Linked DNA regions of Caenorhabditis elegans. The protein of the gene in region 1 interacts with the protein of each later gene in a pairwise test. Each region holds a gene or a part of one and is shown in the gene's direction. Other genes may lie near its edges.

What was found. The genes of interacting proteins can lie anywhere in the genome.
Region 2: the proteins of egl-43 (region 1) and ceh-54 interact in a two-hybrid assay, tested with the Caenorhabditis elegans proteins (one large-scale study listed by BioGRID).
Region 3: the proteins of egl-43 (region 1) and ztf-28 interact in a two-hybrid assay, tested with the Caenorhabditis elegans proteins (one large-scale study listed by BioGRID).

Annotation. Positions count from the first base shown.
Region 1 is NC_003280.10:9,950,992-9,960,432, forward strand, and holds the start of egl-43 (Zinc finger protein egl-43), read left to right. Parts: upstream 1-4,193; 5' UTR 4,194-4,194; coding exon 4,195-4,314; intron 4,315-6,019; exon of another isoform or gene 6,020-6,021; coding exon 6,022-6,123; intron 6,124-6,178; coding exon 6,179-6,309; exon of another isoform or gene 6,310-6,356; intron 6,357-7,596; coding exon 7,597-7,758; intron 7,759-8,758; coding exon 8,759-8,873; intron 8,874-9,308; coding exon 9,309-9,441. UniProt on the Caenorhabditis elegans protein: Probable transcription factor, required for migration of the hermaphrodite-specific motor neurons (HSNs) from the tail to the gonad primordium during HSN cell differentiation. Required for phasmid neuron development.
Region 2 is NC_003284.9:6,188,709-6,196,595, reverse strand, and holds ceh-54 (Homeobox domain-containing protein), read left to right. Parts: upstream 1-2,354; coding exon 2,355-2,369; intron 2,370-4,238; coding exon 4,239-4,493; intron 4,494-4,543; coding exon 4,544-4,691; intron 4,692-4,743; coding exon 4,744-4,991; downstream 4,992-7,887. Other genes in the region: T13C5.9 (DUF282 domain-containing protein), read right to left, coding at 5,473-5,662, 5,710-5,863, 5,999-6,148, 6,228-6,306; T13C5.10 (DUF281 domain-containing protein), read right to left, coding at 7,174-7,366, 7,412-7,565, 7,612-7,704.
Region 3 is NC_003283.11:2,088,164-2,094,636, forward strand, and holds ztf-28 (C2H2-type domain-containing protein), read left to right. Parts: upstream 1-2,505; 5' UTR 2,506-2,517; coding exon 2,518-2,629; intron 2,630-2,690; coding exon 2,691-3,337; intron 3,338-3,392; coding exon 3,393-3,452; 3' UTR 3,453-3,577; downstream 3,578-6,473. Other genes in the region: gtnt-27 (Glycosyltransferase family 92 protein), read left to right, coding at 77-220, 594-826, 1,437-1,584; gtnt-26 (Glycosyltransferase family 92 protein), read right to left, coding at 3,590-3,884, 5,101-5,823, 5,870-5,985, 6,031-6,139.

The DNA of each region.
Region 1 (9,441 bases):
CCATTCATATCATGAACACATTGTGTATTTGATTTTTTTTTAAATGAATGTTTTCTGCGTCAATGACTGCTATAGAATTTTCTAGAGGTTTTTTTGCGCATAATTTTGTAGAAACATTCTTTAGGGTATTTTATATTTTAAAATTGTTACCTAAGTTTGATTGATTATCTTAAAACAACTTCAAGAAAAAAATTTAATTCTTATAATCATTTAAGATAGGTATTAAAATTTATATTTTGATTTTTACTTAGCCTTTCCCACATATAAAAGCTCGTAAAAGTTTATAGACAATTCAGATTATCAAATAAAAAATCTTCTCTGAAACTTACCTAATCCACCAAATTCTCGACTTTATTTACCTATCCTCAACATGCTGTTTGATTCTTAACCCGCAATTCGAACCCGTTAACACCTGCTGATTTTGATCCCACTTAAACACTTCTGAGTGCGTTTTCGCATTTGTTTAAAATATTCGGAAAAAGGAGGAAGCAAAGTCAATATATAGTCAATAACTACTTCATGGATATTCTCTTCTCTATTTTTGACTCCAAATTAAACGGGGATTCTTCCATCCCTTCTTTATCGCTACAATTTTATGTTCAGAATCATCTCGAGATTCATTTTTCTATTATTTATCTGCCGTCGCCATCAAAACAGAATTGTCACAAGGCATTTTGAATTAAACGATAGCATTGGTAAAGTTGTTAACAATTTATTTGATTTTGCAATTTCTGGATTTCTACCTATCTTTATTTGATTTCTTTTAAACTTTCATTTGGGCAAAAAATTCATGCCTACCTCCAAAGATGTTCTTTGAGCTTTAGAACCACACATCAACGCTTACGACAAAATCTAAGAAATAGACTGTAGGCAGGCACGTAGGCAGGCAAAACGCAGAGAGGTATAATTCAGATACCTATGCCTAGAAAATCTTCTAAATTTGCTTTTTGCTCACATTAAGTTTATTTCAATTTCATAGACACCCATTTTTCCTACCTCGTATTTTCGATATTACTTGGAATTCATCTGAAAACGCAAAAGCTCATTAAGGATTCAGAATCTCTTATCAGAATCTCTTATCAAAATCTCTCTCACGAGATAATGAAATCAGCTGCCGCCTCTCTGCTTTATTCTATTTTTCAATCAGCCTTTCCTCGATTCCATCTCAAATGCTATCATCTGCTTCGATTTCAAGTACTTTACGGGTACTGTAGGTTCATCTATAATTCTTGTTCAAATGATGAGCAACACATATTATGCTTGATCTACTGGATTTTCTCTATTAGACGTGCGCCTCTACTGCCTGACTTTAAAGGCTAATATCTCGGTTGTCTTGCGTTTATCAAAAAATTTCAAAAATGCAAATGTAGAAAAATATTTAGCACGTATTTTGTTAATTGGCACTTTTTTATAAAAGCAAAAAGAACCGAGATATACGCTGCCAAAATAGAACTAAGGCGGTGCAGGTATTTTTTGGAAAATACGGTAGGTAACTATTTGAAAAAAAAAATTATTTTCAGACTGTCCCATCATATTAGAACCTGAAAGTCAACTTTTCACAAAACCATTGTTTATTTGTCTCAGTTTCATCAATCCATTCCGTACCTGGAGATGAATTGTTCTCTTCCACCTTTTTTCTCCTCTCCCCCTATTCAGTGTCCACCTTCCTCACTCCAAGTGCCTGAGAGCAGCAAAACCTGCTCCTCCTCTGTGTTAGCCTACACCATCCAGATTGCCACTACAGAGACAGACACACATGGGAAAAGCACAGCTTCTTCTTCTTCTTCTTTTTTCTACATCGTTTTCCTTCATATTCATGCTCAACTGAGCTCATCATTACCTTTCCCATCGGTTCGCAACCACGCCTCTCTTTTGCTTCTTCCTCTTCTTCCGGAGCAGCGACTGGGTGCCTCTTTAAAATCTCCGTAAAATGGACGTCTAAATGCTTTCAAGTGTGAAAGTGACTTCGAGACTTTTAGGTTTGGGTAGATGGCAGTAAATAATGTCATCTGATGCGTCATCCTACCTTTTTGCTACCCTCTAGATTTTACTATTAATAGGCTTAAAAATGCCGCCTTCGCGTGTGCATACCACCAAATATATAGATCTATTTCCACTTCAAATAGCTCTGTTGTCTTTGGTTTTCTTTAAAAATTGTCAACTAACAAAAAACATGCAAAATTACTATATTTTAGTAGTTAAAAAAATAACCGCCAAAATATGGTGATGGGGGTGCACGTCTAATAAGGAAAATACGGTAAGCGTAACTTTGTGAACTTCAAGCACCGAACTTCACGTTAAAATTCAAAAGAATAGACAGTAGGCAGCCTACCTTTTGGAAAATTCTCTGGAAAAATCGTCTTCACAAAATTTCCAAACTATCTGATAACACTCATTCGATGGGAAATTGTCACTTACGCGAGGTTTTTTTTGCCTCCGATTCAGAAAAAAAGTTCCATTTTTTGTTATCATATCATTATTATCAGTTCTAATGGCACATCATGTGTCAAGTGATGAGCACCATAACTTTAAATTTTCAAGGTTTTCGAAATATTTTACTCTTGTTCAACAATTCTTCATTTCAAAATGTGACCGTTTTCTTTCTACACTTATGACACTTTTAATACTGTATCACTTGAATGTCTCTAACTTTTTTTCCATTTTCCTCACAACTTTTCCATTCTTCTATTTTTCTGTAGAATGGACGAGCCCACCTTTTATTACTCCTATATAAAAGCTCTTCTCGGTGCGCTCACCTGGAGCTATGAGGAGAAGAAAAACGGAAAGAATAGAAGAAAAGAAGCGGCAATTTTGTCCCGTCCCTTCTTCCAAAAAGATGAGGACCATGAAGAAGAAAAGCGCAGCACATCCGTCAGAAGAAGACCACAATTGGTGGAGGGGCACACCTCTACTTTAAAATAGCTCCCATTTGCTCGCTTTTACTGGAAACTCTGGGGTCACTGATTTTTTGGATGGTTCTAGACTGTCCTCAAATGTATAATTTCAAAGCTGCGGCAAACTGCTACACCCTGTTGTATTTTCCGTCCAGCAATTTACTTCCAAAAATTCAAACTAAGTCAATAGTTGTTATAGTTTTTAAGTTGGTCTTTGATTATTGAGCAGTTCGGTAAACTCGCAGCCGACCTCGATGGAGTCTCGCGATAGCCTACTCCTGGAAAAAACGTTTGTCTTCTGCTTTCACCTCATGATATCAGGAAACTTATTACAGACATTCAGCCGACAAATAAACGGCTTGGCTTCTACTAGAAATGCTCAATAGATTCTAATTTAGTAGGTGTAGATATTTTCACTTTTGTTTATTTTTCTAAGTATCGAAGTACATATGTTAGAAAGTAAATAAAAATTGCTATTCTACTTTAAGAATTTTCTATATTAAAATAGTCTTTAGTAACGTGGGGTTTTCGAAACTTGCAACTTTTCAAGTGAAGATGCTCCTCACCTGAAGCATCCTGTCACTCTACCGATTGGCTGATGGGCGTGTCGTCTTCCATCTCTTCCACCCGCCCACTTTTTGAGACAGGAGAGGCTCTCGCTCCTCTCGCATCCACAAATGGAAGGCGCCTCTTTCCATCTTCCTTTCTTTTTTTTCTGGTTAGTTGAAGTATCCTTAAAGTATCTTGACGTTTTTACTATATATGACTTCTGGAGAGACATTCGAGTTTTTGGATCAAATATAGAATGTCAAATTTTGAAGAGCAATCTTCTCATATGTCAATTTTTCAATAAAATTGTATCCTACATTGTGGTGGTGTAGAACCCTCAAAAAATAATCTCTAAATTAAGAATTTCTTGATTTTAAAACTGACTAGCAAATTTGTCATGAAAAATCTCAAACGAATTTCCTACAGTTCATCTACCAAATGAATTGGGCTTGTAAACTTTTTCACCATCTACTAAAAAATTCAATAAAATAATAATCTCTTCCCAAACTACACCTCCCTCCAATATCTCTCAGCTTACTCCTAACTCCTATCCCAAATTCGTACATCTACCGTACCATTCCTCCTCCCTGTTCGTTCTCAATGACAAAGCCAGCCTTGAACAGCCATATCCAACTTTTTCGTTGCATTGTTCTCGTTCACAAGATGTATTACTCATCTTTCGCCCCAAAACTGTTCTTGTAATTTGTACAGTTCTTGTTTCTTCCCACGTACAGTTTCCTAAGTTTTCAGGATGAGCATCGACACAGACTTCCTCACGAGTGTTGAGGTAAAGGAGGATGAGCTACATGGAAATGTGCTCATTGCAGTAACTCAAATTGCACTCGGAAGGACCATCGGTGTGATTGATAAGGTGAGCTTTTGGTGTACAATTTTTACGCCGTAGACATTGTCTTAGAGGTGTCCGCTAGAAAAAGAAGTATAAGCTTATTCCCGGGCGTCTAAAAAACTCCACCGGAAAAAATACAGGTCGCTTGAACTGAAATATCTTATAGCTTGAGTAACCTATGAAATAAGCTTTCAGATGTTACACTCATATTTTGTTAGTTAGTAGTTATATGATAACAGTAATTTTAGGTTGTAATTGATAAAATAATGACTTTTTTAAATTAACAAAACTTTTTTTAAAATATTTTTACAAGCATTTTAAATTGATACCTTGGTGCCTAATCTACCTAATCTACAGTACCTTCGCCAACATTTTCAAATCCTTTCCTAATGATTCAACGTTCGAATTACAAATTCTTCCCAGAACCCAAAACCGCAATTATCGGGACCCTGAAATGTTTGGCGCCATGTGTTCCTCCCTGCTTCTTCTCCTCAAAAATTCCTTACACCTGTCTTTCCACCTTTCCCGCTCCCCCCGTCCATTACCACTTTGTTAACCTTGGGGGCACACTAGTAACCATTACATTAGGATTTACAAATCGGAACACCTGGTGCCTTGGTGGATGGGGGATCCGAGATGGGAAAAGAGACTCGATGATCGACTGTAATTGATGAATACAGTCGCTGATGGGAAAATGGATAATTGCTAGGTTTCCATAGGAAGAAGAATTTGAGGAGCTCTATCAATAAAGGAGAGGGATTGAATCCGTTGATCAAGCCGTCAATTTCCTACTGTAGCTGTCGTCGTTATCCAACTTCGTCACAATTCCATCATTGAATTAGTGTATTTCCCCCAGTTGTTTATCATCTAGAGCCGGCGACGGGTCTCTCACACTGATTGGCTTATCACGCACGCACACCACATCAAGCGGCAGTCACTCAGAATCAGAAGCCACTGAAGAAAAAGTTCATCATCTTTTGCGAGAGAGCCACTGATTGCTTATGGTTGCTTGGTGAAGGCAAACCACCTGCTCTCACAGTGGGAAAATTAGATTCCAGAAGCGATAGAGAGAGCGACAGCTCCTGCTTCTTCTTATTAGATATTGATGGGTTTTTGGGCTGAAGCTCACGGAGCACAGAGAGTGGTGAGTTGGCCGAAATGAAATAAGATTTTTTCGAGAATGAGTTTAGAATGTGTGCGATTTGTGAAATAATTGAGGGAGGAAACCCAGTACGCCCAACAAAACCCTTGTTGAGGTACTAAACTGTTTCTGCGAAGATCTGTGGGAAAATATACAGAGATTGCAGGAAAAATAATGCAGTCTTGTAACTGGTGTCACACGGTGTGACGCGCGTGACGTCATCTTTTTCCAGTCCGCAATATATCAAATGAAGTGAAAACTTAAAATTTGGATATGCAGTTTTGAAGAACGCATCGCCAAATACAGGGATTCTTGAAACTTTAATTTTTTATAACTATTCGTGTCCATTTTTTGTAAAATTAAGTCCGAAGAGACATCACCGTTGTCTTACAAGCGGTCATAGAGAAACCTACCCAGCGTGCCAATCGTTTCTTTAATCCATGTTATCACGAGGCCGTCGAAGGTCACCTTTCAGGCAGGCATACATTTTTTTACTACGATTTATGTAGATCCTAGATTCTACACTCATCATTTAGAAAAAGTACTAAAAACAATCACTTACATTAATTTTATAAATATTATTATTTTAGGCTACACCGAATGATTCGAATGCTCTTCTCATCTTGAACCTGATTAAGGAAGCTGATGACGGAGAAGATGCCAATATTTGTATGAGGCAGGAGGATAGAAAGGTGATTATTAGATAAATTTAATGAGGAAGTTATCTAACTATAAGAAAAATTTCAGACTTTTCTACAAACCAGTAAGATTATCAATATTGGAGAGCGTCTTCTTCTACAAAGACTGTCCGAAGAGGAGTGTGATGAGGAGGATCAGGATGATCTTGAGAATTTAATTTTGTTAAAAGATGAAGATCGGTGAGTATGACCCTTGAAAGAAACAAGAAAAAGAGCATGCTAAAAAGGTATGATTTTTCTCACCTTTGAAATTGGAACGATAACTGAACAAGTTGCAAAAACTGTAATTTTCCGGAATTTTTTCTATGATTTGAAGTTCTGTGTTGCTATACATAGAAGGATGTTTGAATTACACATAAAACAATTTCTAAAAAGCAGATTGAGTATACCTTTAATTTTTGAGTTGTTGAGATCAGCGTTAAAAAATTTCAAACCGGTTTTGTCGGTCTTACACAGGCGAATATTCGAAAATAAATCTCGATTTCTAACGGAAAAGTAACGGAAGAAAGATGTGAATCTTCATGAAAATCTTCTGTCATTTTCTTCTCATCGTCCTACTTTCTAACTCCCGTCGTTTTCTCGATAGTTTTCACTGGCGCGGTGAAAGTAACGGATTTCCGATAAGAGCACATCCTTCAGCATCTCCAAGTGAAGCCCGCCCGCTTTTTTTGTGTCCCGTTCATTTACATATAGATTCTACCGCTTCTGGATGACAAATTCGTGTCGGTTTCCGGAGGAGCCCTTTTTTGGGTATTTGAGCCCCTCAAAGGAAATCGTTGATTTATTTTGAGGGGTGTGCATCGGGGGAAGGAAGCGGATCTAGATTTTGCATCTTTTTTGAGAATCAATCGTTTTTTTTGCGGAAAATATAAATTTTTATCTTTTTTTCCGAAATCTTTATATCGCTAACTTAATTTGTGTTATTACCATCTTTTCTATGTTTCTTAAATTTTTAGACGATGATTCCTTGGTATCCCAAAAGTTTAGGTTTCAATTTTTACGTTAGACCTTGAACTTGCCCGATTAGATTTGAAAAGTTTGGGTTAATTTTAATATTTAATAGATTTTTCTAAATCGTTATTCGTATCAAACTATCTAGACATTGCACTTTACACTAGAAAGAATAACACAAAATTCAACTATCAAGTTTATGAAAAAGCTAAAAATTAAAATGAAAACATATTTTTATTTTAGTCATGAACTTTCATTATTCACCACATTAAAAAAGAGTTCTGTAAATTTTAAGAACAAAAATTGAAACTACGGAATATTCAAAAAAACATAACTTCATGCGTGTTTACATTTTTTGATAAAGCCAATAACATCCAAGATTCCAAAACTGCCTAACTTAAAAAGCGAGTAGCCAAACTAATTGTGTTATACGGTTTTGCTATATGATAGTATTAAAAACGTATTATATTTTTTGAGGCACTGTTTTTTAACCTTTCGAAAATCAACCATTTTCAGGCCGGACAGTACTCAAAGCTGCACAAAGAGCAGCAGTGAAGACAGCAATCTAAACGGTTTCGAGGAGTATATTCGAGAACACGGCGAACTTGTACCTGGTCAAACGCCTCCCGACGGATCACACAAGTGTGGAGTTTGTCCAAAGAGTTTTTCAAGTGCAAGGTGAGTTCGTTGAAAAAAAAAGTCGGAAAAGTTATTGGCAAGGTATATCATGCTAATGCACTCTCTCAACTGTTGTATTTTAGCAGGTGTTTGAAAGTGTTTTGTCTATTTATGCGTCTCTGTTTGTATGTTTTCATACCGTAGTCACCCTTCTCTATTCCATTAGAGGGAGGATCATTTGTGGCATAGAGACACGGAGCCCTCTATTTGCTCATCATTTTCCCGCCTTCCTCTTGAAGAAGTGGAAGGAGAAGCTCTTCTATGCTCAGGTAGAATGCTTGAAACCAGTGCTCCAGAGACTCAGGAAATTGGATCCAGGGAGGAAATGAAGATATTCTGGAGAAGTGGCTTCTTCATAATATATATTTTCTTTGTCTTGCATTTCCTAAGATATGAGAACCCGTTTACAGAGTCCTTTTATAGAATTTTGGTTTTTATAATAGAGATGTATGGAAACCGGGCAAAGTTAATTAGGATTCTTACAGCCAACAAGAAAATTTTAAGATAAGTAACGACCAAAACTTGAGCGGAGTTGAAAGTTCAGTGCATTACAATTGAAGTTTTTATTTATTATTTATTTATCTTGGGCTAGAATAGATGGAGCATCTTCACAGGACTGGACTTATATAATGGCTATCTGCCTGCCTGCCTACCTGCCTTTCGTTTTATTTATACTGTATTTGCGCAATATAAACTCATGCATTTCTATTTGTTAGAAGTTAAAAAAAACAATATTTAGAAAACGTTCACATGTACTTTGATAGTTGGCTCGCATGTTGGCAGAAGGCAGGCACAGGGAACCCTGAAGGCACTTAGGCAGGTTCGCTGGACAAAATACCTGCTGATTGTGCTGATTTATTTTCACTAATATAATCAGATATGAAACATGGACAATTGGGTACAATACTAATAGAGGGTGTACTGCTATATAACTTCTCCGAATCAAAACTTAACAGTCATTCACATTCACTATCACGTGTTATCAATCAATTTTTTTCAGCGGTCTCAAACAACACTCTCATATTCATTGCTCCTTAAAGCCGTTTCGGTGTCATTTGTGTCCAAAGTCCTACACACAATTCTCAAATCTGTGCAGGCACCGGAGAGTTCATTCAGTGAGTTATTAATTTAGAGTTTCTAAGAATAAACTGAGCACTGTAATAATCTATCGTGCAATGCTCCTGGGCTAAGAGTCCTTAAAGAGAGGATATAAAACTGAATAAACCCCATAATCTCACAACAGGGGGGAAAACTCGAGGCGTGGTCAAGAAGGTTATTGTCCTCTGTACTAATAAAAACGGAAACGATTTCAATGATGTGCCCCCACCTGAGGTGGTCCCTTCCTTAATTGTTTACCCCGTGAGAAAAGTGCAAGGAGCCATGATGCTCCGCCCTCTTTCTTCTCAACCAATAAGACACGCGCGCCGCCCATCCCTCGTGCATCTTCCCTTTGGGGTGTGTCACAGGGCTCATTCTTGTGACGTGCGCTTCCCACCTTTACCAGTGTGTTATCAATCTCCGTCTTATTCATTAGTGAATAAATATTCCAGGACGGTTGGACGTGCCCAACGTGTCAAAGTCAGATGCCATCACAAGCGGCACTAACGAAGCATCGACCAGTTTGCGAGATGACTGCACTCTACAAACCATTGATGGCGCAACTTGCCGGATTGAGCGGAGCAG
Region 2 (7,887 bases), on another chromosome or scaffold:
CAAACTTTTGCAATATGATATTATTCTAGAACTCAATGCGTTTCCAAAAGTAACTTTATTGTGATTTAACAAATATTCATCTAATTTATTTATTATAAAAATAATGCATTTGTCTGAAAAACATTTCAGGTTACCTATTTTCAAAATTCACACTTGATGCATTCGAATATCTGTCGGGGAAGTTCATATTGAAGTTTCAGATGAAAACTACAACTTTTAAATTGGATTATATTCAAATAAATGACGTTGATAACCAGAACTTAACAAACTACAAACTATCTATACGTATCGTTGTTTACGCTGCTCTGAAACACCCAAAACTGGAGGCCAATTATTTATTTGTTTAATACATGTTATTTTTTTAAAACACAATATTTCAAATAAGTACATTCCCAATTGTCAAAACTGAAACATTATTTTATAAACAACATGAAAAATATTAATTTTAAACGTAACTGATTTTTTTTGGTTTGTGAATGACGTTCTTTTCGGCATTTAATAACGTTTTTATGTTTTCAAATATAAATAGCTTTGCAAAAAAAACTCCAAATAATTTTTAGAATTTTGAGTTAAAAAAAAATTGAAACAGCTTTTCTTCGATTTCGGAAAAAAATACTTCGATTACACCACTGTCTTGCATACTTTTGGTTATTTGCCTTCTTGATGAACTTGATACATTTTCAGCCAATAATTTTCATATTTCAAACCGGAAAAGGAATGTGATTAAATAAAAATCAATTTCCGGCAGAGTATGACAAAATAGATGATTTTAGCAATCCTTACCACTTTTTTATTTTTCTGAAACCAAAAATTCAAAAAAATTTTCACGCGTCTTCAATTTTTTCCACTGAAAATTAATCTTGAAATAACTCTAAAAATTATGTTAAAATCTATAATGTGAAATTTAATATCTCAAAGTCTGTTTGAATTATGTAGTGCAATAAAAAAGCTTGCAACTCTACCATTTCGTTAAAAATATTCTTAATTGAACGCTTATTCTGTGCTTTTAAAATCTGATTTTAAATGTTATACATTTTGATTTTCAGATTTTGAAAAAAAAACTATTTTAGTATCAATTTTTTATTTCTCATTTGTCAGAGTTATTTTGAATAAGACAACGCAATACTTATTTTGTTGTGCAACATAAATAAGTATTTTAGTTTTTCTGGCGGTAAATAATTAATTTCAGGGAATACTTTTAATAGGCCACATTATCAATGGCTTCACTTCTGTTCATAGAATTTTCTAATGGGCGCTTGGTTTCACCAGAAACTAAAGGACTATTTCCTGTTTTCCCGCAATAGCCTAATTCCATCAAGCTCTTGCTCGTATATGCTCAACTTGAAATCTAATAAGCATATTCATCCACTTTCATAAATCATTACTCTGCTCATCAGCGTGGAGATTATGCTAATCGTCAAGGTTCATCGGATTGACATTTACTGCGGGAAAACCATTATGAAGACTAAAATGGAAACATCCGTGTTCTCTTTCCTCTTTTTTCACAGATCTTATAACCTTTGTAATTTAATCTGCAGTAAGCGCGAGACAATGAACATCCGAAAGTCGTTGTCGTCAAACTATAGCTTTAGTATGAAAATATAATATTTCGAATTTTTTGACTACATTATTACGAACACGTCCTAGTTCTGATCACACCTGTCACAGAGTGAATTCAGGTTAGAAACTACTTGCCTCGTGCCACTATTAGTACAAATTACCCCTTTTTGTTTCTCTATATGCTCTGAGATTTGCATGATATCTTCTGGTTTCAGTATAATTTTCAGCCAGATTCTTGAGCAAACCAGATTGGTATTATATACTGATGAATTTTTGCCATTTTTTAAAAGTATAAGATTTCCAGTGTTTTTTGAAAATTTTGTTTTTAAATGAAAATGTTTTTGAATAATCATTTGATTTTGTACAATATATATCAGCATCTCTTTATTAAAACAGATTAGAATTTCATAATATCTCGACAACTACTTCCGATGCTCACTCTTTTCGTGTGTTTTTGCTGTTCCGGAAACAGAAAGTTTCCGCTCACTTTGAATAAGCGCATTATCTATACTATTGGTGATAGGGAGATTACATAACACAGGATACGCCGTTGACGCCATTACACCTTGAAATAACATTATTGATCCCGTAATCCCACTATAAGCCTATATTTTTCTGACTTTTAGTTGACATTTTATTGTATGTAAATTTGTACGTAATAGACTTAAGGCGATCTTTTTGGTTTTTTTGGAGGATTAACTTTTTAATGAAATTTGTAATTTTATCTATTTGCTAAAAATCTAATAATTTTCAGTTTGTTCTTCTATTAATATTTGAAAATCAAAATTTTACAAATGGAGCAACTTAAGGTACGTTCTCACACCTTTATCAATAATTTTAAAGGTCAAGTATAGTCTGCGGGGAAATTATGAAAACTCATTTCTATAATGCTCGGTAGGCGTATGCGCACATTCCGCGCACTTTCCGCGCACATTCAGCGCACATTGCCCTTGGCGTGGCCATTTTCTCCACCGCTAGCCGTTTGAGCACTTTCCGCGCAGATTCTGGGCACATTGGTTTTGGTGTGTTTTTTCATCCAGAAATCATGCATTCTGAGCACATTCAGCGCACTTTCCGCGCACATTCAGTGCACATTGCCTTCGATGTGGCCATTTTCCCCACCATTAGTCTTTTGCGCATATTCCGCGCAACTTCCGCGCCGATTCTGCGCACATTGACTTAGATAATCTACAACTAATGCTCAATTTCTGCTTTCTAAATTATTATAGCATTGTTTAAATTTTATGTCCGAGTCTATATTTAATAGTATTTCTGATATTTGAAAATTAGAGCCAAGAGAAATGGTTTTAATAGTTCTCATTCAAAAACAAATCCGCGTATTGTTTCCAACCAAAAATTCATCAATAACGTTGTGAAACATTCATAGTTCGTTTTGAAATGATGCACATTCTCGACAGAAATAGTTGTAAAATACCAACAACGTCACTGTAGAGTTGAAATATGTTTTCAGAAATATTATATTTGGGTTAACAGGTTGTAAATATACGCCGTCTATCGTTATTGATTTACAACTGCATAATGTCCCACATTTTAAAAGTCAAAATTGTGATTCAAATTAAAAACTATATATCTAGATATGTGCTTACTATTATAGTTAGGGGGAAAATGTATACTGGAGAAGAAAGCGTTCAAATGTTTTCCCAGGAGTCAAATTGAAGAGGTTGTGAAGTTTTACAATCACACAAAGTCTCTTTTTGACCTGATTGAAAAATCAATTGTCATGTAGCTGTTGTAAAACTGAATTATCTGTGAATCTCTGGAAAGAATTCTAGAACAAAAAGTTCACTTAATTAGAGACTTCTAAATTACCATGAAAGTATAAAAATGCGCTGACATGATTTCTCTCTAGTAAAATAATCACATTAACGCTTAAAAACGGAAAAATACTTAATTCACATTTTTCCATAAATATGTGATTGAAAAACAAGTTCAAAAGCCAATGAGAAATCCTTTATTATTGAATTACTGTGCCAAAAATGCTTTATCGTTAGTTCTATGTTTCTCCATTGACTTTCTCATTTGCTTATATTTATGGCGCGTTAACTGCTATTAACATCGCATGCGTTATGTCTCAACAGGTAAGACTTCAGACTTTCAGGGAAAACATCACAGGTTCAATTCGCAGCAAGGACACTGGCAATCAAAATACACTGCAAGCGAAAGGCAGTGAAACACCACCACTCTGCATCATGAGCACATTCCGCGCACATTGCGTTTTGGTGTTCCTCATTTTTTAACTGCCCTGCATTATGCGCACATTCCGCGCACATTCTGAGCAGATTCCGCGCACATTCCGAGCGGATTAAAAACAAATGTATTAAACCGCTCGGAAAGTGCGCGGTATGTGCGCATACGCCTACCGAGTGGAAAAAGGACTAAACTTCATGCAAATATTTTAGACAAAAATTTTGGAAATGTTTTATTTCGACTCAAAAAGTGGGGAAAACTGGGTCAGTGCATTTTGTCGCGAAATCTGAAGCACTGTCGCTTTTTTGAATCCCTACAATTTCGGTCACCCCTTTTTGACTCAAAATAAAACATTTTCCAATCATTTTTGAATTTTTTTAAATGATATTTGGGCATTTTAGTGCCTAACTGAATGGTTTTTAGTCATTTCCCCCCTGGCCTTAGACAAAACTAAACATTTTGCATTTCAGAGTTTAATTTCGCCTTCACTGCAAGACATTTTGTGCAAAATTCAATTTAATGACACCCAATTTGAAACTACAAAAAAGATCACGCGAAAACGATCGAATAACTTCAATCCTGACAGAAAGAAACGGAACCGAATAACGTTTGATGCAAATCAAATCGATGAGATGGAAAAGGTGTTTGCAGAAAATCAGTATCCGGACACTATGAGCCGAGAAAAATTGGCAAACAAAATTCAACTTCACGAGGAGCGAGTTCAAGTGAGTTTCGATACTTTTGGAAGGCGTGAAGTTATATAAATAATTTTTAGATTTGGTTTCAAAATCGTCGTGCAAAGTATCGTCGAGAGCAGAAACAAACTGGCCATCCATACGAGCCACCTTCAATCACTAAAAATCCTACAGGTGAAAAAGAAAAAACTCAGGATTGCACTACTTTGACAAGTGCATCATCTCCAGGTAAATATCACATTTTTACAATTACACGTATTCACCTGGTTTATAAATTTAGGCCCTTCAAACCTATCTAATGATACTCTTGTTTCAATTGAAATGGCACCTAAAATTGGAACTAAAAGCGTCAATTTGTTCCCAGATCAGGCTCTTTCAAACACTCTGAACATGATCATCAATGCTAACAAAAATGCTTCGGAAAACAATTATGAATCCGAGGATCAATTCAATGCGGAAAGTGCGAAACTTTTAATGCTAACTCTTTCCAATTTATTCAGTTTGCAAAATGAAACCACTTGTGAATGATTTTATAAAGTTTCCGGAAGATATATGTGCTCAACCCAGCAAGTGTAAAAATTCAAAACTTAATATTTAAAAAACGGTAAAACAAATGCATTCTTAAAGGAGTATCAAAAATGAGGATTTTGTCTTAAAATGACACAAAAAGATAAATATCTGAACAAAACCCTCTGAAATGTTTCTGATTCTTCAAAAAAAAAACTTGTGGAAAAACTGGTTTTTTGCCGATTTCCAGAATAATGACGATTACTCAATAGTAATCGTCACTTTCTGATTGAAGAAAAAACTAACCAATCTTAATATATTTCACTACAATATGCGATCATTTCATTACGCCACTTCTTCATCAACTTCTCTGGAAAATTTCATGGTATTTGTGAACCACATTTGTTTTCTCCTGTATTGAAAACAATTTATTCAAAAGTTAATTATTATCAGCACTAAAATAAGTGAAATCTAAGGAATTCAATATTAGTCGTAAACTTATTTAACCACTTATAATTGGGCGACAGACTAAAGAAACCAATTGAAACTTTAAAAATTCAGTCCCTGTGAACCAATTTCCAGCATCCGGCCCTGACTGTTTGCACCAAGCAATAATTGGGGAAACCCCTGGAGTCTCGAGGCCTAGAAATGAGTAGAAAACAGTAGTCCCCAATGGACAGATTACTACTGTGCTGAAAATTAAAAGATAATAATTGAGAAAATAAACCATCCGACTTACGAGCAAGTATCTGACGGTAAAAAAGGGAAAAGGGGGAGCAAGCCAACAATGTATTTAATTCCAAGTTCTGCAGCTGTGGGACACCATTGTAACAAATTTGGAATACCAAACCCTTTGCAACTTGTATCATAAGCTTTCTGGCAAACGGTGCATGCTTAAGAAACAATTTAAGAAATTTCAAACTATGTTGTGTGGCCATTTTAGCACTATACTTTAATATTTTTCACGCTGTAGATATATTCCACCGTTAATTTGATGTTTCTACCAATTTTCAAATAAAAATACTCACGAAATGGTTCTTCAGTAACTGTCGTGGTAGTTGTAGCAATGGTTGTAGTGGTGGTGGTAGTGGAAGCTGTTGTTGTGCTTAACGCTGAAGTTGTGGTGACCCCATTTCCACCTGTTCCACCTGTTCCACCTGTTCCACCAGGAGAATTTGCTGTAGTAATTAAATTAATATTCAAAAATATTAAATGCTACCCAAACAAACTTCAAACTTTCGAGCAAAAATAACTTACAATCCACTTGCTGTGTAGGTATGCATGCAAGAGTGTATTTGAGTAAAACACAAACTGTGATCGATCTTTGAAAATGCATTGAAGAACAGTTCAGAAAGCTAAAAGTCAGAGAATGATAAGTGAATATGTGTCATCTCGCCCTTTTATAACGCTTGCCGATAAATGACCGATATGTCGGCTAATGGTACAAAAGAACAGATAAACTTGAAAAACTATACAATGGGAAGAACACATTGTTTACTGTACTTTACCTTTCTCTTCAACTTTATGTATCAAAAGCATGATGACATACAATTGTTTCTTAGTGTGTTTGTGCACCTTTTATATGCATCAATTCAATTAACTTGTATGTTCTTTAGAAAACATGTGTTCAAAAACTTGAAATGTTATACGTTTCCGAAATTCTGAAAATTATGCCTGAAAGTACATAATTAGAATAAAACGTTAAGAATATTTTTATGCTCAAAAGTTCTAAAACTCTAGAACTTTTTTGCAGAAAAAAAAAATGGTTAAATGTAATAAACAAAAAATTATTGCTTTTTTTCAACAAACTAGTAACGTACACAGAGATTAAAAAGTAGTAAAAGTATTGGCTCAAATCACAAATATAAATAATATTTCTGAAAAGTTTCTAATGGTTTCCATTTATCCAAGCTTCTGCAAACTTCCTGACATTACCGCCAATTTTTTTTAAACTCTCAACAGAAATTGTAGAAATTTTTTTATGAAATTTGGTAGTTTGTGAAACTATACTCTAAGAATATTTGATGAGCCATTCGGACATTTCAAAATTTTTCAAAAAAAAAGGAAATGTTCTTACTACTTTTTTTTATTGCTTTTTTGAAGTTAGATCTGTAAAAATAAATATTTATTAACTTGGTATGATTGTTATTATAATTAGTAATATTGATATAAGTTTTATTAGCATTTAAAATACGATTTTTTATTATCCTGACACTACTGATTGGCACGTCAATGAAGTAAGTTCAATCTCAAATGGTGGAACGCCTGTAAACCATGTGCCTGCGTCAGGACCAGTTTGTCTACAGTATGCAAGAGTTGCGGGAGTTGGAGCAGGAATTGACGAACCGAATAGATTGACTCTGGGAGTTGTGCCGGGCGGACAAACGATAGTGGTCCTGAATGAAAGAAATATGATATAGAATGTGTGTCAGGTCACATACGAGCAAGAATCTGCTGGTAAGAATGGAAGAGCAGCAACAAGGCCAAGAAAATAGTTGACTCCGACTTCAGCCGCTTGAGGGCACCAATCAATTAAACTTGGTATTCCAAAGCCTTGGCAAGCTGTATCGTACACCTTCGGGCACGTTGTGCATGCTGAAATCAAACTCTTTAAGATTTTCGCTTTAAATTTTGTTCTTACGGAATGGTGGTTCAGTTAACACAGTTGTTGTAGTTGTTGATGGTGTAGTTGTTGTTGTGGTAGTTGTAGTTGTCGTCGTTGTGGTTGTGCTAGCTGTAGTACTAGTTGTGGAGGTGGTTGTTGATGTTGATGGGGTAGTGCTTGTTGTAGCTAGAGCTGTGTTAATTGTGAGGAGACTAGCCGAATATGAACTTTTTTTCGCTACTCCACCACCACCTTTAATTTTTTTTTTCAATTTTCAAAATATATTTTCTTTTAGTTTTAGAATAGAGTAAC
Region 3 (6,473 bases), on another chromosome or scaffold:
TATTTGCCGCCCACCCCTGATCCAAGAATTAATTTTTTTTTGATTTTTGAAAATGCTCAACTTTTTTCCTTTTTAGGACTGTTTCCATCGCAGCAAATACATCTCAAGATGGGTCATAAATGCAGATATTGACGAGCGATTCGTGATGTTTCAGCCAGAAACTACCCTTATTCAACTCCTTCGGTCCCAGGATGCAAATGTTGGGGAGCTGAATTTTCAGGTAAAATTTTCACATATTAGTAGAATATGACACAACGAAAATGGCGCGCAAAAATTCAAAAATTAGAGGGCGGAGTCAAACCGCAAATCTGCGGCGCGCAATTTTTCGAATAAAATTTGACTATCTTGCCACGGGGTTCTGGCCTTCCTCATTGAATTTTTCGCGCTCCATTGACAATCGCCTGCCGGACAACGCGTGGGAAAGTGTCGTGTACTCCACACGGACAAATGCCATTAGTTTTACAACAAAAATCGAGCCGCGACGCGACACGCAACGCGCCGTAAATCTACCCCAGATATGGCCGAGCCAAAATGGCCTAGTTCGGCAAACTCTTCCATTTCAATTTAAGAGAAAAGCCAGAAATCCATTTCAGGCGCGACGGATTCAAAAAACCGAAAACTCACCGCAGAAATTCACCAATCTGCAAGACACCATCGAAAACCTGGAGGCGCTGAAATTCCGGAACACTACTAGAACTCAAATCTGGGAATCTTCAAAAAGTATATACCGCCCGGAAATGGTCGCCGTACAAACCTACCATCACACTCATCTACAGTATCCCGGCGTTATCGTGAAAAATGTTCCCAGGGAGACTGCCGGGTTTAGGTAGGTTTTACACATACGTGAAAGTTTGCGATTTTTGGACCAAAATATGGTACTCGGTCTCGACACGAAAATGTTTTGTTTAATACTAAAAGGTGTGTGCCTTTAATGGGTACTGTAATTGCAAACTTTTGTTGCAGTGGAATTTTCTTTCGATTGTTTTCTGCAGAATAATATTTTTTATCGAAGAACTATGAAGAGCCCACCAACGTACAGTACTCCTTAAAGGCGCACACCTCTTCGAAAATACAAATTATCGTGTCGAGACCAGATATCGTATTTTTAGCTCAAAAATCACAAAGTTTCGCGTGTGTATAATAACACGGTCATATGTAAATTCAAGCAGCAGCTCGTGTACTTCTCGAGGAGAAGTGTGCATTTGTTTTTTGCAGAGATTTTTGAATTTTTACTGAAATTCTTGCCGATTTTTGTGTATTATTTTTGAAAATAGTGAGCATTTTAGACTGAATTTTCTAATTTTTTAGTGTTTTAGGCGGAAATTCTGTAGAAAAAATTACCGAAAATGGCCAAAAATCAGGAAATTTTTGCCAAAAAACGCACACTTGTCCTCGAGGAGTACACGAGCCGCGTAAATCGACACTGACATTTTCAGACACTACCGAATGACCTCCGTCAGAAATAGTATCGGAAATGGTTGGATTTACGGCGACAACTTCACTATAACCGAGCTGGATAGGGAGCTGGAGAAGCTTCTGGTGCATAAAGTTGCTAATATGGCTGAGCATATTTATGGGTCTTGAAATGAAGAAATTGCAGTAACTTACTGTACCGGTTTTGTATTCCTTTTTTTTCATGTCGAAATAAATCAAATCACAAAGTAGCGCCAGTGGGAAAATTGCTTTAAAACATGCCTATAGTGTCACAATGGCCAAATATCATAGTAAAAAAATTCAATTTTTTTTTCTAAATTTTATATGACTTTTTGAAAATTGGAAAAATCTCAGTTTTGCCCGAACTGCAATTTGAATTACCGCCAAGAGAATTCGTTCGATGGAGCGCGCTTGCACGTTTTTATTTTTATTTAAAATTAAATATTTATTGTTATTTTCACTCATTTTTCACCGATTTTTCATGTTTTCAGTGTATTTTTTTTTTGAAATATAAAGAAAAAATTAAGATAAATTCAAATAATCGATTGAAAACCTACTTTACAAGCGTAGAAACAAAGAAGTAACACTTTTAAACGACGTCGACCCTGAATTAATTAATTTTACAGATTTTTTTCGTTTAAAAATATTATTTATTAATTATATGATTAATGTGATTAGTGAGAAGCTTTTTTAGTCTACTATCCTTGCAAAAATTTTGTAGGTCAGTAAAAAAATTCTTTTTTCTTCTACACTCAAAATAATAAAACTGCGTTGCGTGTACGACCAAATAGGCCCCGCCTTTTAATCGTCCACTCACGGGAAAAAGGCAAAAATATGGGAGGGGGGGGACAGCTCGCCACGCCAACAGTGAGAAAAATAGTGTGGTGCGCGGACCTCGAATGATGTCGGCTGCTGATATTGGCTACACCAGCCGCTTTTTGCCTTTTCCCCGTGAGTGAACGAGAAAAAGGCGGGGCCTATTTTGGCGTACACGCAACGCAGTTTTATTATTTTGAGTGTAAATTGATGTAAAATTCTAAAATTTTTCTTCAAAATGTCCTCTTCTTTCAGAAAATCAGCTTCATGGATACTTCCGATCACAAGCCCCTTATCGACCGCTTCGAAACGGAATTCGCTGAAAAATCGTCACTGCTTCGCAAAGAAGAAAGCGAGCTTAAGCGGCCGGATCTCAGAGGTGAGTTTTATTTTATTTTTTTTTGTAATTAAAAAAAAACATTAATTTTTCCATTTTTCAGGCGATTTCCTCTGCTTGTCCTGCGGCCAAAACTTCAAGCACGGCGCTTCTCTCAACCGCCATCGTAAACTGGTGCATAGCGACGAGTACACCTGCATGCTGTGCGCCCGTAAGCTCTACCTGAAGGAGACCGTCCGTGATCACATGAGAAATGAGCACTACTTGGGTCAAGTATACACCTGCGGATGCTGTAACTGGACGTTTTCCAACAAAAAAGCCCTCACCGAACACGCAAAGGCCATACAGGAAACCGGAGCTCCAGGAGACGCCAACCCGATTGCGAAATCCGGCAATTCACCGGGATCACTGCTGAAATCGCCAATTCAAAGAGCCGGCTTCAAGCTTAATCGTCTTTTGAACAAGTCTCTGTCGCCGTCGACTTCCAATTCAACAACGTCCTCATCTTCCCGCGACGCTTCAGGATCGCCCCAACCGGAGCTGGAGCTGAAGCTGGAGCCAGAGCCAGAGCCAGAGCCCAATGAAGAAGCTCTCGAGTACAAAAGATTCTTCAACAATGCAGTCGACACAATTCTACAGAGAAATTTTTTCACCGATCAGCAGATCACTGAAGTCGACACATGGGTCATAATCATCGAAAGTGCGAATGCTCTTGCGACGGCGCTTCAGAGCTACAAGAAAGCTCAGCAGGTAGCTAATTAAAACATTTTTTTTAAAGATAAATTTTCAAAAAATAATTTTTCAGATCCAGCCAGCCGAGCCAGCCATGATCCCAGAAAAGCGCATCAAGCCGGAAATTGAGTAATCGTTGATGTTCGAGTGTCTTCATTATGTTTATAGTTCTACCTCACTGCTCACTTTTTGATTTTCATGTTATGTTAATTTACATTTTCAATTTTCGATAAGCTTTAATACATTATTTTGATTAAAAAAAAGATCCAATTACTGATAGCATCCAATCTCATCACTAAAGAATGCATCACTCGCCCAATGGAATGTGATTGGAAACATGGGCGGCCCGGAGTGATACGTGGCATCTGAATGGGTACACGGCATCGCTTCTCGTTGTGAAAGCTCACAATCAAAAGCATTTACACACGTGGATTCTGCAGAAAGAAGGCCGGCGTCTCGAATGTGATAAAATGATTGATTATAGCACTGGAATACGATGTTCGTATAAAAATCATCTTTGGGCAGAGAGGAGGTTAAGCTGGTGAATTCTGGCTGGGAAATTGTGCTGAAATTTTTTAAAATTTGAACTTTTGAAATTGTGGTTCCCGGTCCTGACACGACACATTTTTGTTGAATGCAAGTGTGTGCCTTTAATGAGTACTGTAACTTTAAACTCGGGTTGCTGCGTAAGGTATGAAATATCGATAAAAAAACCAGAGTTTTTGAAAATACAGTACTCTTCAAAGGCGCACACCGCATTTACAAAAACTGGTCGTGTCGAGACCGGGTACCGTGTTTTTCTTTGTTAAAATTTGCGAAAACTCGCGTATGGCTTATAAAAAGTGGTTTTTTTTCTAAATTTTTTTCACAATGATTTGAGTTTTGTCACGTATTGGCGGCGGAATTAGCACGGATTTCTGGCTTCCCTCATAAATTGAAATGGAAGAGTTTTCCGAACTAGGCCATTTTGACTCGGCCATATCTGGGGTTGATTTACGGCGCGTTGCGTGTCGCGTCGCGGCTCGTTTTTAGTTGTAAAACTAAATGTATTTGTCCGTGTGGAGTAAACGACTTTCCCACGCGTTGTCCGGCAGGCGATTGTCAATGGAGCGCGAAAAATTCAACGAGGAAGGCCCCGTGAACTAGGTATGTCGAAAAAATGAATATCTAATTTGAATTTTTTTCACCAATTTAGGTTTGAAAATTATCAAAAATTATTTTTTAAAAATGCATGAATACACGTAAAAATTGGCTGAAAATGTTTGCACTTACGATTCTGCCGCTAATACCCAACGAGACCCAAATTATGAGGCTGAGCACATTATCTTGCGTGCTCATATTATTACAGGAACACTGAATTCTGAGAATGCGTATTGCGCAACATATTTGACGAGCAAAATATCTCGAAGCGAAAACTACAGTAATTATTTAAATGAATACTGTATCGCTGTTGTCGATTTACGGGCTCGTTCTTCGTATTATTTTCTCAATCTTTTGCATAACTTTAATATTCCAAAAATAAATGATTTCATTTCGTAAATCGAGCCGGCAGCCCGTAAATCGACACAACCATAATAACACGTGGTGCCAGAGTGTCTCATTTTGGCTTGATCTACTTAGCTCTACAAAAATTGCGGCAGAGTTTTCAACTGCTTTCGCATGGTTAAGAACGTGCTGACGTCTCATTTTTGGGCAAAAATTTCCCGCATTTTTTGTAGATCAAACCGTGATGGGACAGCCTGGCACCACGTGTAAGAAGTAATAGGTCTAAAAATTCAAACCTCAAAAAATCCTCATCGATCTCCTTCAAATGTCTTTCACTAATCAACTCAGTAATATTATCTCCTGGATTAATCGGTATAACTCCTTCCCGAACATTACTTGAGTTTACGAAAACCATGTGTTTCAAATGAAATATTCCATTATTATATATGTACTTCATTTTTCGATAAATAGGTTTCCTCTGCTTTTTTGTCAAATAAATTGGACGATCATCCGAGTTAAGTGAATAATGAGACCACGTAGAATTCAATCTCTCCGGGCGGAAGAACGACTTTCCTTCGTCTTTTGTTTTCAGTCGTTTTGAATTTTTAATCATTGAACTTATGTTTAGAGTCTTCTTAGAGTCCAGTACCGAAGTTTTTATAGTTTTATAGTCAAATTTGTCATAGTGAAGTGCACTAATCTCCCAGCTTCCGGCATATTCTCTCTCGAACTCCTCGTAGTAAGAGTTGGCATTTGTTGGAATAAGTATATCATCCATGTCAAGAACTCCAATAAAGCTTACAGCCTCCTTATACATGAGAATACAATCAGTGTGCGCAGCCGCCTGATTTCTGAGCTCCACGTTACGATTTGGCTCCAAATATGGTTCATCTGTGGTAGAGAACTTAATTGTGAGCCAAGGTTCAATGGATACAAGCCCCAGCTTTTCATGTTCCTTGAGCAAGTTGAAGTAGGACTCTACCATAGATACCACGTACAGTTGTAGATGAGCTCCGTATCTGAAAATTTGATTTTTGACATAAAAATTTGCAATTCTAGTGTAACCGCTTCGAAACATGCAGCTGCACCAGAAAAGTCTGCCACTGCTCTGCAGCAAATTGTGGGGCTATACAGAAAACCACTGGTTTTGGCGCTGAATATTTCGGACGTTTTACTGGTACCTATAACTTGTTGTACTGAAATTATATATAATAAATATTCTTAACCTCTACTAAAACTCCATCGGACTCAATTTCCAGCTTCTCCATGTCTTCCAGCAAGTTTGCGTGGGCAGTGACAAGAGAATAGTCACACCGAGTATGAAGGCCATGCTCCCTGAAAAGCTGAGCCATTATGTGGGCGGAGCTTATTATCTCGGCATTTGGCTCTAGCTTCTTGCCCAAAGTTGGCCCAAAAAATAGTAACTTGGATTAGAAGCTAGCTAAACTTAGGCAAAACCTGGATTTAGGCTGCACCAAATTTAACCCAAGTTTCAACCAACTCTTGACAAACTTTGGCCCAAACTTTTCTTGTTTCGTCTCAAACTTGGGCCAAAGTTTGGCAAGAGTTGGGTGAAACTTGGGTTAAACTTTGGTAAAGCCTAAATCCAAGTTTTGCAAAAGTTTTGCCTAACTTTGGCCCAAGTTTACCCAGCTTCTGATCCAAGTTA